Caenorhabditis elegans: one gene and its partner. The protein of the gene in region 1 interacts with the protein of each later gene in a pairwise test. Each region holds a gene or a part of one and is shown on either strand. Other genes may lie near its edges. The genes, in order: rpt-2 and pdr-1.

Region 1 (4,337 bases):
CGAACCAACTCTTTGGCTGATTTTCAAGACTGAAAAAAATAGCGAGGTTTGTTTATGATTTCTAGGGTCTCATGGACTGCGAATATTGAAAATGCGAATACTTATTCAAATAATGTGATGCGTACTTCTGCTTTCTGCCAAGATTTTAGATCAAAAATTAACTACGACTCAAAAACTAGGTGAAAGAACAAGTGTGTGCTGGAGCAAATTGATGGATACTTGAGAGAATGAGTGAATCCGCGCGGAAACATTTCCCGCTGTCTCCGCCTTCACTGCCCTTGTTCAATGTAAAACCAAAAACAATGCAAAGTATAGTGGATGGGAAGAGGAAGAAGTATTGGGCAGAAAACATGAAGAGGACACAAACATCTACTGTACGAAAATGATTAAACTTTGAGAAAACGGAAGTGATCGAAACAATTTTGACTAGTTTAATCATACTTATCGAAATTTCAGATAAATGATATTTTGAAATTCGACACCAACAAGAAGGTGAACATTGTGCTTTGTAATCTAACAAATGACAATTCCGGCAGAGGTGCCAATCATTCCTACATTCATTCCGTTCGAACTGACATGTTACACTGCCAACGTTCGCATATTACCCCCCGTTGAATTATCCTTGAATCCACCTTTCCCCTGTTCGTGTTTTACACTCATGTGCGGGAAACTCGGCAAAATTCACATTAGCTCACCTCGTCTCGGAGTTGTGATAATCATCCGCTTCGAAACCTGAGAAAGTTCAAAACTTTAAAGAAAAAATTGAAAAAAGTGTAGAAATAATGCAAGTCATGCATTGAAGTTTCCTAACAGAAAGAATACATAATGGAAGATTGAAAAATGAATGTTTTCTTCTCTTATTCACATGAATATTATCACAACCAGACACATAGCCAGGATAAATAAAGTAAGGTGGAAGTATTTGGTATTTACGGAAGCTTTCAAAGTCAATAAATTATGTTACTATTATCTTCATTATCCCAAACCGTGATCCTCGAAGAATCCTTGTGGAGTTTCTTCTTCTTGAATGAGATCTTGGGCAGCAATCGCCTTCAAAACTTGTTTTTTACTGGTTTCCTGGATTTCACCAGCCAGTAAAAATTCGTCGAGTATGAAGTAAGCTTTTTCGAAGTTGAAGATGATATCCAGCTCACAAACACTTCCAAAATATTTGTCGAGGAGTTCTACGTAACGATGAATGACTTCCAAAGTGATGAGCTCGTTGTCGTTTTGTTCGATGGCGCAGCAGAAATACAGAGACGCGTATCTGAAATTGTTGAGATTAAAAATTGAACGAATTGTTAAGTTTTTGTTTCATTTATCACAAAAATGTCTATTAAACAACTAAATTTGACGCCAAAATATTTTTCATGAATAAAAAACGTAATAACTTCGGATTTAGGTGTGTAACTATAATTTTCAAGAAATTTTGATTATAAACTTGTAAGTTATTTTCAGAAGGAACAATTTTAAGGCATGACAGGAAATGGGAGTTGTTACTTTTGAATATAAAATACGAACCGTTTGTAGACAACTTTCAAATCCTTGTATTCGAGGAACGCACACATTTTCGGTTTTCTCGCCAGAATTTGAGTGATGAGTTCGCGGCAAATTTTCTTCTTTTGCTGAAAATTGAGTGTGAAATTACACATATGAATAGGAAATACACTTACCTTGTCGGGGTAAGCAGTGTACCATTTCTGCAGCCGCAGTTTGCCCTGGCGACTGAAGAGAAGCATGTATTGCATCATGTTTACTGAAAACAAGAGTATGAACAATCGTTTGCAAACTTTAAAACGCTGAAAATACTTAAAAATCAATTGAAAAATTAGATTTTCTGAATAAAACAGACATGTGGCTTCGTCAATAAAAACAACGAAGCTCCGAAAATACGAAACCGCGCGTTGTTTAGTTCTCACCAGAGCGCGCTTGCATTGTCATCATCAACGCTGTATTTTTTTAAATCATTCTTCGTTCTACTTATTTTATATCTTTCAATTGTTTTCTTTTTCAAACGTGGACTTATTATTTTTCATATAAAATCATTATTTTCTAGAATGGGGCAACAACAGTCAGGTTTCGGTGGAAGAGGAAATGACCGCGGTGCCGGAGATGGAGAGAAGAAGGAAAAGAAGAAATATGAGGCACCGATTCCATCTAGGATTGGAAAGAAGAAGAAGGGGTCTAAGGGACCTGACGCCGCTAGCAAACTTCCAGCTGGTAAGTTTCAATCTAGTGTGTATTTTAACTGATGATTCGGTTTTAGTCACACCACATGCCAGATGCCGTCTGAAGTTGCTGAAGAGCGAAAGAATCAAGGATTATTTGTTGATGGAGCAAGAATTCATTCAAAACCAGGAGCGTTTGAAGCCACAAGAGGAGAGACAAGAAGAAGAGCGCGCCAAGGTGGACGAGCTCCGTGGAACACCAATGGCAGTCGGATCACTTGAGGAAATTATCGATGATCAGCACGCCATTGTTTCAACTGTAAGAATCAATATATCGATAATATTTTCTTATTTCAATATTTAGAACGTCGGAAGTGAGCATTACGTCAACATCATGTCATTCGTCGACAAGGAACAACTCGAGCCGGGATGTTCAGTCCTTCTCAACCACAAGAATCACGCCGTCATCGGAGTTCTCTCCGATGATACAGATCCTATGGTGTCTGTCATGAAGCTCGAAAAAGCACCACAAGAAACGTATGCCGATGTTGGTGGTCTTGATCAGCAAATTCAAGAAATTAAAGAAGCAGTTGAGCTTCCACTGACTCATCCTGAATACTACGAAGAGATGGGAATCCGGCCTCCAAAGGGAGTTATTCTATACGGTTGTCCTGGTACTGGAAAAACGCTACTTGCCAAGGCTGTTGCTAATCAGACGTCAGCTACTTTCCTTCGTATTGTTGGTTCGGAACTTATTCAGAAATACCTCGGAGATGGTCCAAAGATGGTCCGTGAGCTCTTCCGCGTTGCTGAGGAGAATGCACCATCAATTGTGTTCATTGATGAAATTGATGCTGTTGGAACAAAACGTTACGATTCGAACTCTGGTGGAGAACGTGAAATTCAGCGGACTATGCTTGAACTTCTCAATCAACTTGATGGATTCGATTCCCGTGGAGATGTTAAAGTTTTGATGGCCACTAACCGCATCGAATCTCTCGACCCTGCTCTCATTCGTCCAGGTCGTATTGATCGTAAGATTGAATTCCCCCTGCCAGATGAAAAAACGAAGCGCCGTATCTTCCAGGTTGGAACAATTTTTTCTAAACATTATATGAAGTTTTTATTTTCAGATCCATACATCTCGAATGACACTCGGCAAAGAAGTTAACCTCGAAGAGTTCATCACAGCAAAGGACGAGTTGAGTGGAGCTGATATCAAGGCTATGTGCACAGAAGCTGGTCTCTTAGCTCTTCGCGAGCGTCGTATGCGTGTCACGATGGAAGATTTCCAGAAGTCCAAAGAAAATGTGCTCTACCGTAAGAAGGAAGGAGCTCCAGAAGAACTCTATTTGTAAATGTGCCCCGTTTTATTTATTTTTTTTGTATTTTCTCTTTCCCAATTTATTTTATTCCCTTTTTGAACGTCCCGTTGCACAAAAACCGATTTAATGTAATTTTAAATCTGGATTGATTGAGGTAAATGATTCATGATGAAAAATATTCGTTTATGTGACATTGGGATTGATGGTTGGTAAGGAAAGTTCATGAATTTAATGAAACTGAAGAAGAAAAAAATGGAGAAAATCGACTTGAAGATTTACCAGTGAAGAAGTTGATGGTTTCGAAGAATAAGAAAATGATGTTACAGTTGAATGTATTTCTTATCACAATAATTGGAAACGGAAAGTTGGGGGAATTTCAGTAGCTAAAAGTGAAACTATAATGAGAAAAGAGAGAACTGGCTGAATTTAAAGATATGGAAATTGGATAGAAAATCGGGAAATTGTATGAAATTTTGTAATAATGAGAGCTGGACGGGGAAAATTACAAATGCACGCTACAGAAAATGATTTGAATCGGAATCTAGAGTGGTCGGAGATCAGCATCCGGATGTGGTTGAATCGGGGTTGGAGTTGAAACGAAGTTCATTGTTGGCTGACCAGAAGGTGTCAGACCAGTGTTGGAGGAAAGCAAGTCGAATGGGCCTGGAATGAAAATCGTTAATTATATTTTGAGAAATAAAAATAACACTTTTTAGCCCGGGATGAAACTGGAAAAATTTAAGAAAATTTTCGTATATTGTAGAAATATCGGCATTTGAATTAAAATTATGCAAATTTCTGGGTCTTGGCACGCCAACAACTTTCCAGCTACCGTACTCGCAAT
Region 2 (4,478 bases), on another chromosome or scaffold:
GGGGCGTGGTATGCACGGGAGATGAAGTTTGTTGCAGCAACTACGATGGACAACCTGGTGACAGTCTCTGCATTTCATTGATGTGGCGAGCTTCAGGGCTGTAGCACATTTGTCGCATTTTCGCATCTGAAAATCAAAAAGGTATTAAAACAGTGTGGCAATTCATGTTTAACAGAAAAAATAGGAATTCTTTGTTCAGAAATAGATGTTTGCAACATGGGGTCCGAGACGGACGCGCCTCTTCATGATTAGCATGATTTTCATCACTACAGAGCTCACTTTAAAGAAATTTGTTAGCATTTTTTACACGTACCGCTTTGATTCCTGCCTCTATAAACGTGTGTGGTCTCATTGCGATGTCACGAGTTGTTCCATTAGTCCACGCCGGCGTGCCACGTTTCAGGGTTCGGATATCAAGTGTGCTTTTGGTGAGAATGGCGGACGACATGCCGAGGCCGATGTTATTTGTGGTTTGTCCTGGTGTTTGATCGCATGATGGAATACTTCCACAGCTCAAGCTCCTGCGGGTGAGCTGGCGGTGAAGTGAGACACGTGGCGGGTCCTGGTTCTGAGCTCGAGAGTTATGAATAGTAGTGGTGGTGGTGGTAGTGGTGGTAGTTGTCATTTCTTGATGAGGTGTAGAACCATCATCACGGCATCTTTTTGGAGGTGTACCACCCTCATTCTGAAAGAACAAACGCAATTCAACAAAAACTGTCATGTCATAATTTTTACCGGCTCTTCATCTATAGTAGCTGTCATAACACGGCTTCTGCTCCTCTTCGAATTGGCAGCAGCAGTAATCGCATGTGCTGACGCGCTTCTCCGCTTGCCACCAACTGCGTTTCCAGCAGCTGAGCTTCTTCTGACCTCTCTTCCATTGCGCAAATGAATAACTTCCTCGAAACTGTCTCCAGTTTCATCGTAATCCACCTCACTATCGTCCTCATCGTCCTGTGTGTCCTCCATCAAATGTGGATGCCTCTGCTGCACCCGTTTCGAGTATGTCCGGACCAGTGGCTCGTGAAGAAACTTGAACTGATCGCGGTCTTCCTTGGTGAGACTATTGAATATACCGTTCTTCATCGCATCTTTCAGCTGCTTTTCACGAGTCTCGTAGACGTTTAGATCGAGCTTCAACGCCTTATTTTCTTCCATCAACGCGCGTAAATGTTTCTGAGTGTCTTTGACATCGATATCGAACATTGCCAGCTTCTTGCGAGCTTTTCTGAAATAATAGTGTTTTCTAAACACGTAAACATGAAATATTTCACTTACGCAAGTGCTTCTTCGGCCTCTCTCATATCTGCATTCAGCCGCTTTTTGGATTCCTCGGAATCTTTCCACAGCTTGCGGAGACGCTCAATCTCATCAATCAAATGAAACATTCCTGAAACACGTCATTAAAATTTGAAAATGATAATTGAAACTAACCTATATCCTTAATATCGAATTGCGGTCGCTGTGAGTTTAGAATCATGTTGAAAATGTGACGCGAGTTTTCGCCGCACACCTTCTCTTTTGATGTACTGGACTTCATTCTAAAATGTGGAAATGATTAGAAAACGAGAAACTCGCCCGAAAATAAGAGAAAAATGCGTGAAAACCGTTTCAAATTTCGTGGAAAACAGTTCGAATTTGAAGCTCGCTGCGTTTGTCTCACACGCGACGCGACCCGCTACGCTTGCCATAGGGCGCACATGACTGCGAGGACTAGTGTGCACAAAAACATGGGGCTTCAAGGCCTCGACTAGTTTTTTGAATTTAATGTTTAAAACTGCAAGCAGGCCCGCTAGCAGGAAATTTTTTTGTTAATTTCTAAGTCAAATTTTCAGCTCTCATGAAGCATGTCTGATGAAATCTCTATATTAATACAAGATAGAAAAACAGGTCAACGTAGGAATCTAACACTTAATGTAGTGGACATTTCAAACTTTGAATATATACATTATTTTTTTCAGATAAATATAACTGGAAATATCGAAGATCTCACAAAAGATGTGGAAAAGCTCACCGAAATTCCCAGCGATGAGCTGGAAGTGGTTTTCTGTGGGAAAAAGTTATCAAAATCAACGATTATGAGGGATTTGTCACTGACACCTGCAACGTAGGTCAAGTAAATATTTACTTATATAAATAACTGGAATTGTTATTTATATAAATAACTGGAATTGTTATTCAAATAATATTATTTCAGACAAATCATGCTTCTCCGTCCAAAGTTCAATAGTCACAACGAAAACGGTGCTACTACTGCAAAAATAACAACAGATTCTTCAATTCTCGGAAGCTTCTACGTGTGGTGCAAAAATTGTGACGACGTCAAGCGCGGCAAACTGCGGGTTTATTGCCAAAAATGCTCGTCAACCTCTGTTCTAGTCAAATCTGAACCCCAGAACTGGTCCGACGTTCTCAAAAGCAAGAGAATACCGGCGGTCTGCGAAGAATGCTGTACTCCAGGTCTTTTCGCTGAATTCAAGTTCAAATGTCTAGCCTGCAACGATCCGGCCGCAGCTCTAACTCACGTACGCGGAAATTGGCAAATGACCGAGTGCTGTGTTTGTGATGGGAAGGAGAAAGTGATCTTCGACCTCGGATGCAATCATATTACATGCCAATTCTGTTTCAGAGTGAGTAAGAATCTAAATTTTTTGTTGAAATTGTTTAATTTTAAAGGATTATTTGCTAAGTCAACTGGAACGATTCGGTTTTGTCAATCAGCCGCCGCATGGCTTCACCATTTTCTGCCCCTATCCAGGGTGCAATAGTTCGTTCGATTTTATCAAAACCATTCAATTTTCTGCAGTAGTGATCCTGAAAACTAATTGATAGAAACAAAAAATCTTCCAAAAAATACAAATATGTTATGTTTCCATTTTGCAAGTCTGGCATGGTTTTTTTTTTGCAAAAAAAACCCCCACCCGTTCTATTTAAATTTATTTTGAAAATTTTCTCACATGTTTCAATAGTTTTTCAATGCCGAGAAAATTGAAAAAAAAAGTTTTAAAGAAATTAAACAGAACATTTAATTGAAAAATAACTTCAGGAGTGGTACAAGATGTGCACCATTTCCACATTATGGGTCAGACGTCGTACAGCGAATACCAACGGAAAGCCACCGAGCGATTGATTGCCGTGGACGACAAGGGTGTGACTTGCCCGAATGTCTCGTGTGGGCAGAGCTTCTTCTGGGAGCCCTATGATGACGATGGAAGATCCCAGTGTCCAGATTGTTTTTTTTCGTTTTGCAGGTATTTTGAGCTTCTAAATCGGAAATTTTATCGCAATAAATATCATCGTTCAGAAAGTGCTTCGAAAGAAATTGTGTGTGCCAGAGCGAAGACGATCTCACCCGAACTACAATTGACGCGACTACAAGGTGATCTCAGCGATTATCCACTACAAAAAACTGTAAATTCTTCCAGAAGATGCCCAAAATGCCACGTGGCAACCGAACGGAACGGCGGATGTGCTCACATTCACTGTACCTCGTGTGGAATGGATTGGTGTTTCAAGTGCAAGACAGAATGGAAGGAAGAGTGTCAATGGGACCATTGGTTTAATTAATAACTCTCTAAAATTCATCTTTTCTAGAGATTGTACGTGTTATTCTGTAGATTTTTACAACAATTACGGTGTGTCTGAAGTTACATTGACATTTTTTCTCTTCAAATTTTAGATCTTTTTCTCAATTTTTGTTGCTGAGTATTTCGCTCATTTCATACCTTTTTTTAAATGTTTTGCCAAATTTCAAAGAACACATTTCTCGCAGGGATCTCCATAGACATGTCAGGACAAGGACCTCCACCAAGTATGACGCCGCAGCAACAACATGTAAGATTTTTTGTGCTTTTGAACTTGAGAGTAAATTTTAGTGAATTTGAGCACATTTTACAACCTTTTTCGGAAAAATTTCACACTTTTCTACGGCTTCATCCTTAAAACAATTGAAGTCAAAAAATGTCTTTTTTTTAATTTTGGGAACAAAAAAAATTAATGAAAATGTACAATCACACCAACATGGAAACATTTCTTGAGCTTCGGGATATATCTCAGTTTTGGAGTGGGCTGAAAATTATTTTTTTCATGAAAATTAAAAAAACAACTTTTTCATGAAAACAAAACTCACCGCATTTTTTAACTGAAATTTGAAAATTTCTCACTCAAATATCCTTTAAAGTTTCATTTTAAGACGTTTTCAGAGCTTTTTTAAAACCATATAACCAAATTTTAAACTAGGAATAAAAAGATTATAAAATAAAAACATTTCAGATGTTAATGCAGCAGCAACAGCAGCAACAAATGATGCGGCAGCAACAAATGCAGCAACAACAAATGCAGCAGCAACGTCAACAGCAAATACAACAACAGGCTCAACAGGTAGTAATATACCGTCCAATTTATCGAAAATTTGAAATAGCACTTTCTGATAAATTTTTTAACGTAAAATTAAAATATTTTATGATTTTTTCCGCAAA

What was found.
Region 2: the proteins of rpt-2 (region 1) and pdr-1 interact in a two-hybrid assay, tested with the Caenorhabditis elegans proteins (one study listed by BioGRID).

What each region holds. Positions count from the first base shown.
Region 1 is NC_003283.11:6,015,389-6,019,725, reverse strand, and holds rpt-2 (putative 26S proteasome regulatory subunit 4), read left to right. Parts: upstream 1-2,056; 5' UTR 2,057-2,057; coding exon 2,058-2,220; intron 2,221-2,266; coding exon 2,267-2,487; intron 2,488-2,532; coding exon 2,533-3,255; intron 3,256-3,301; coding exon 3,302-3,526; 3' UTR 3,527-3,677; downstream 3,678-4,337. Other genes in the region: picc-1 (PAC-1 interacting and coiled-coil domain-containing protein 1), read right to left, coding at 696-720; aps-1 (AP complex subunit sigma), read right to left, coding at 976-1,267, 1,522-1,625, 1,674-1,751; Transcription factor fos-1, read right to left, coding at 4,035-4,156. UniProt on the Caenorhabditis elegans protein: The 26S proteasome is involved in the ATP-dependent degradation of ubiquitinated proteins. The regulatory (or ATPase) complex confers ATP dependency and substrate specificity to the 26S complex.
Region 2 is NC_003281.10:13,769,684-13,774,161, forward strand, and holds pdr-1 (E3 ubiquitin-protein ligase parkin), read left to right. Parts: upstream 1-1,835; 5' UTR 1,836-1,847; coding exon 1,848-1,916; intron 1,917-1,961; coding exon 1,962-2,107; intron 2,108-2,197; coding exon 2,198-2,630; intron 2,631-2,676; coding exon 2,677-2,767; intron 2,768-3,046; coding exon 3,047-3,251; intron 3,252-3,304; coding exon 3,305-3,379; intron 3,380-3,425; coding exon 3,426-3,567; 3' UTR 3,568-3,661; downstream 3,662-4,478. Other genes in the region: cyk-4 (Rac GTPase-activating protein 1), read right to left, coding at 1-126, 314-685, 736-1,228, 1,279-1,390, 1,435-1,540; mdt-29 (Mediator of RNA polymerase II transcription subunit 29), read left to right, coding at 3,787-3,834, 4,273-4,380.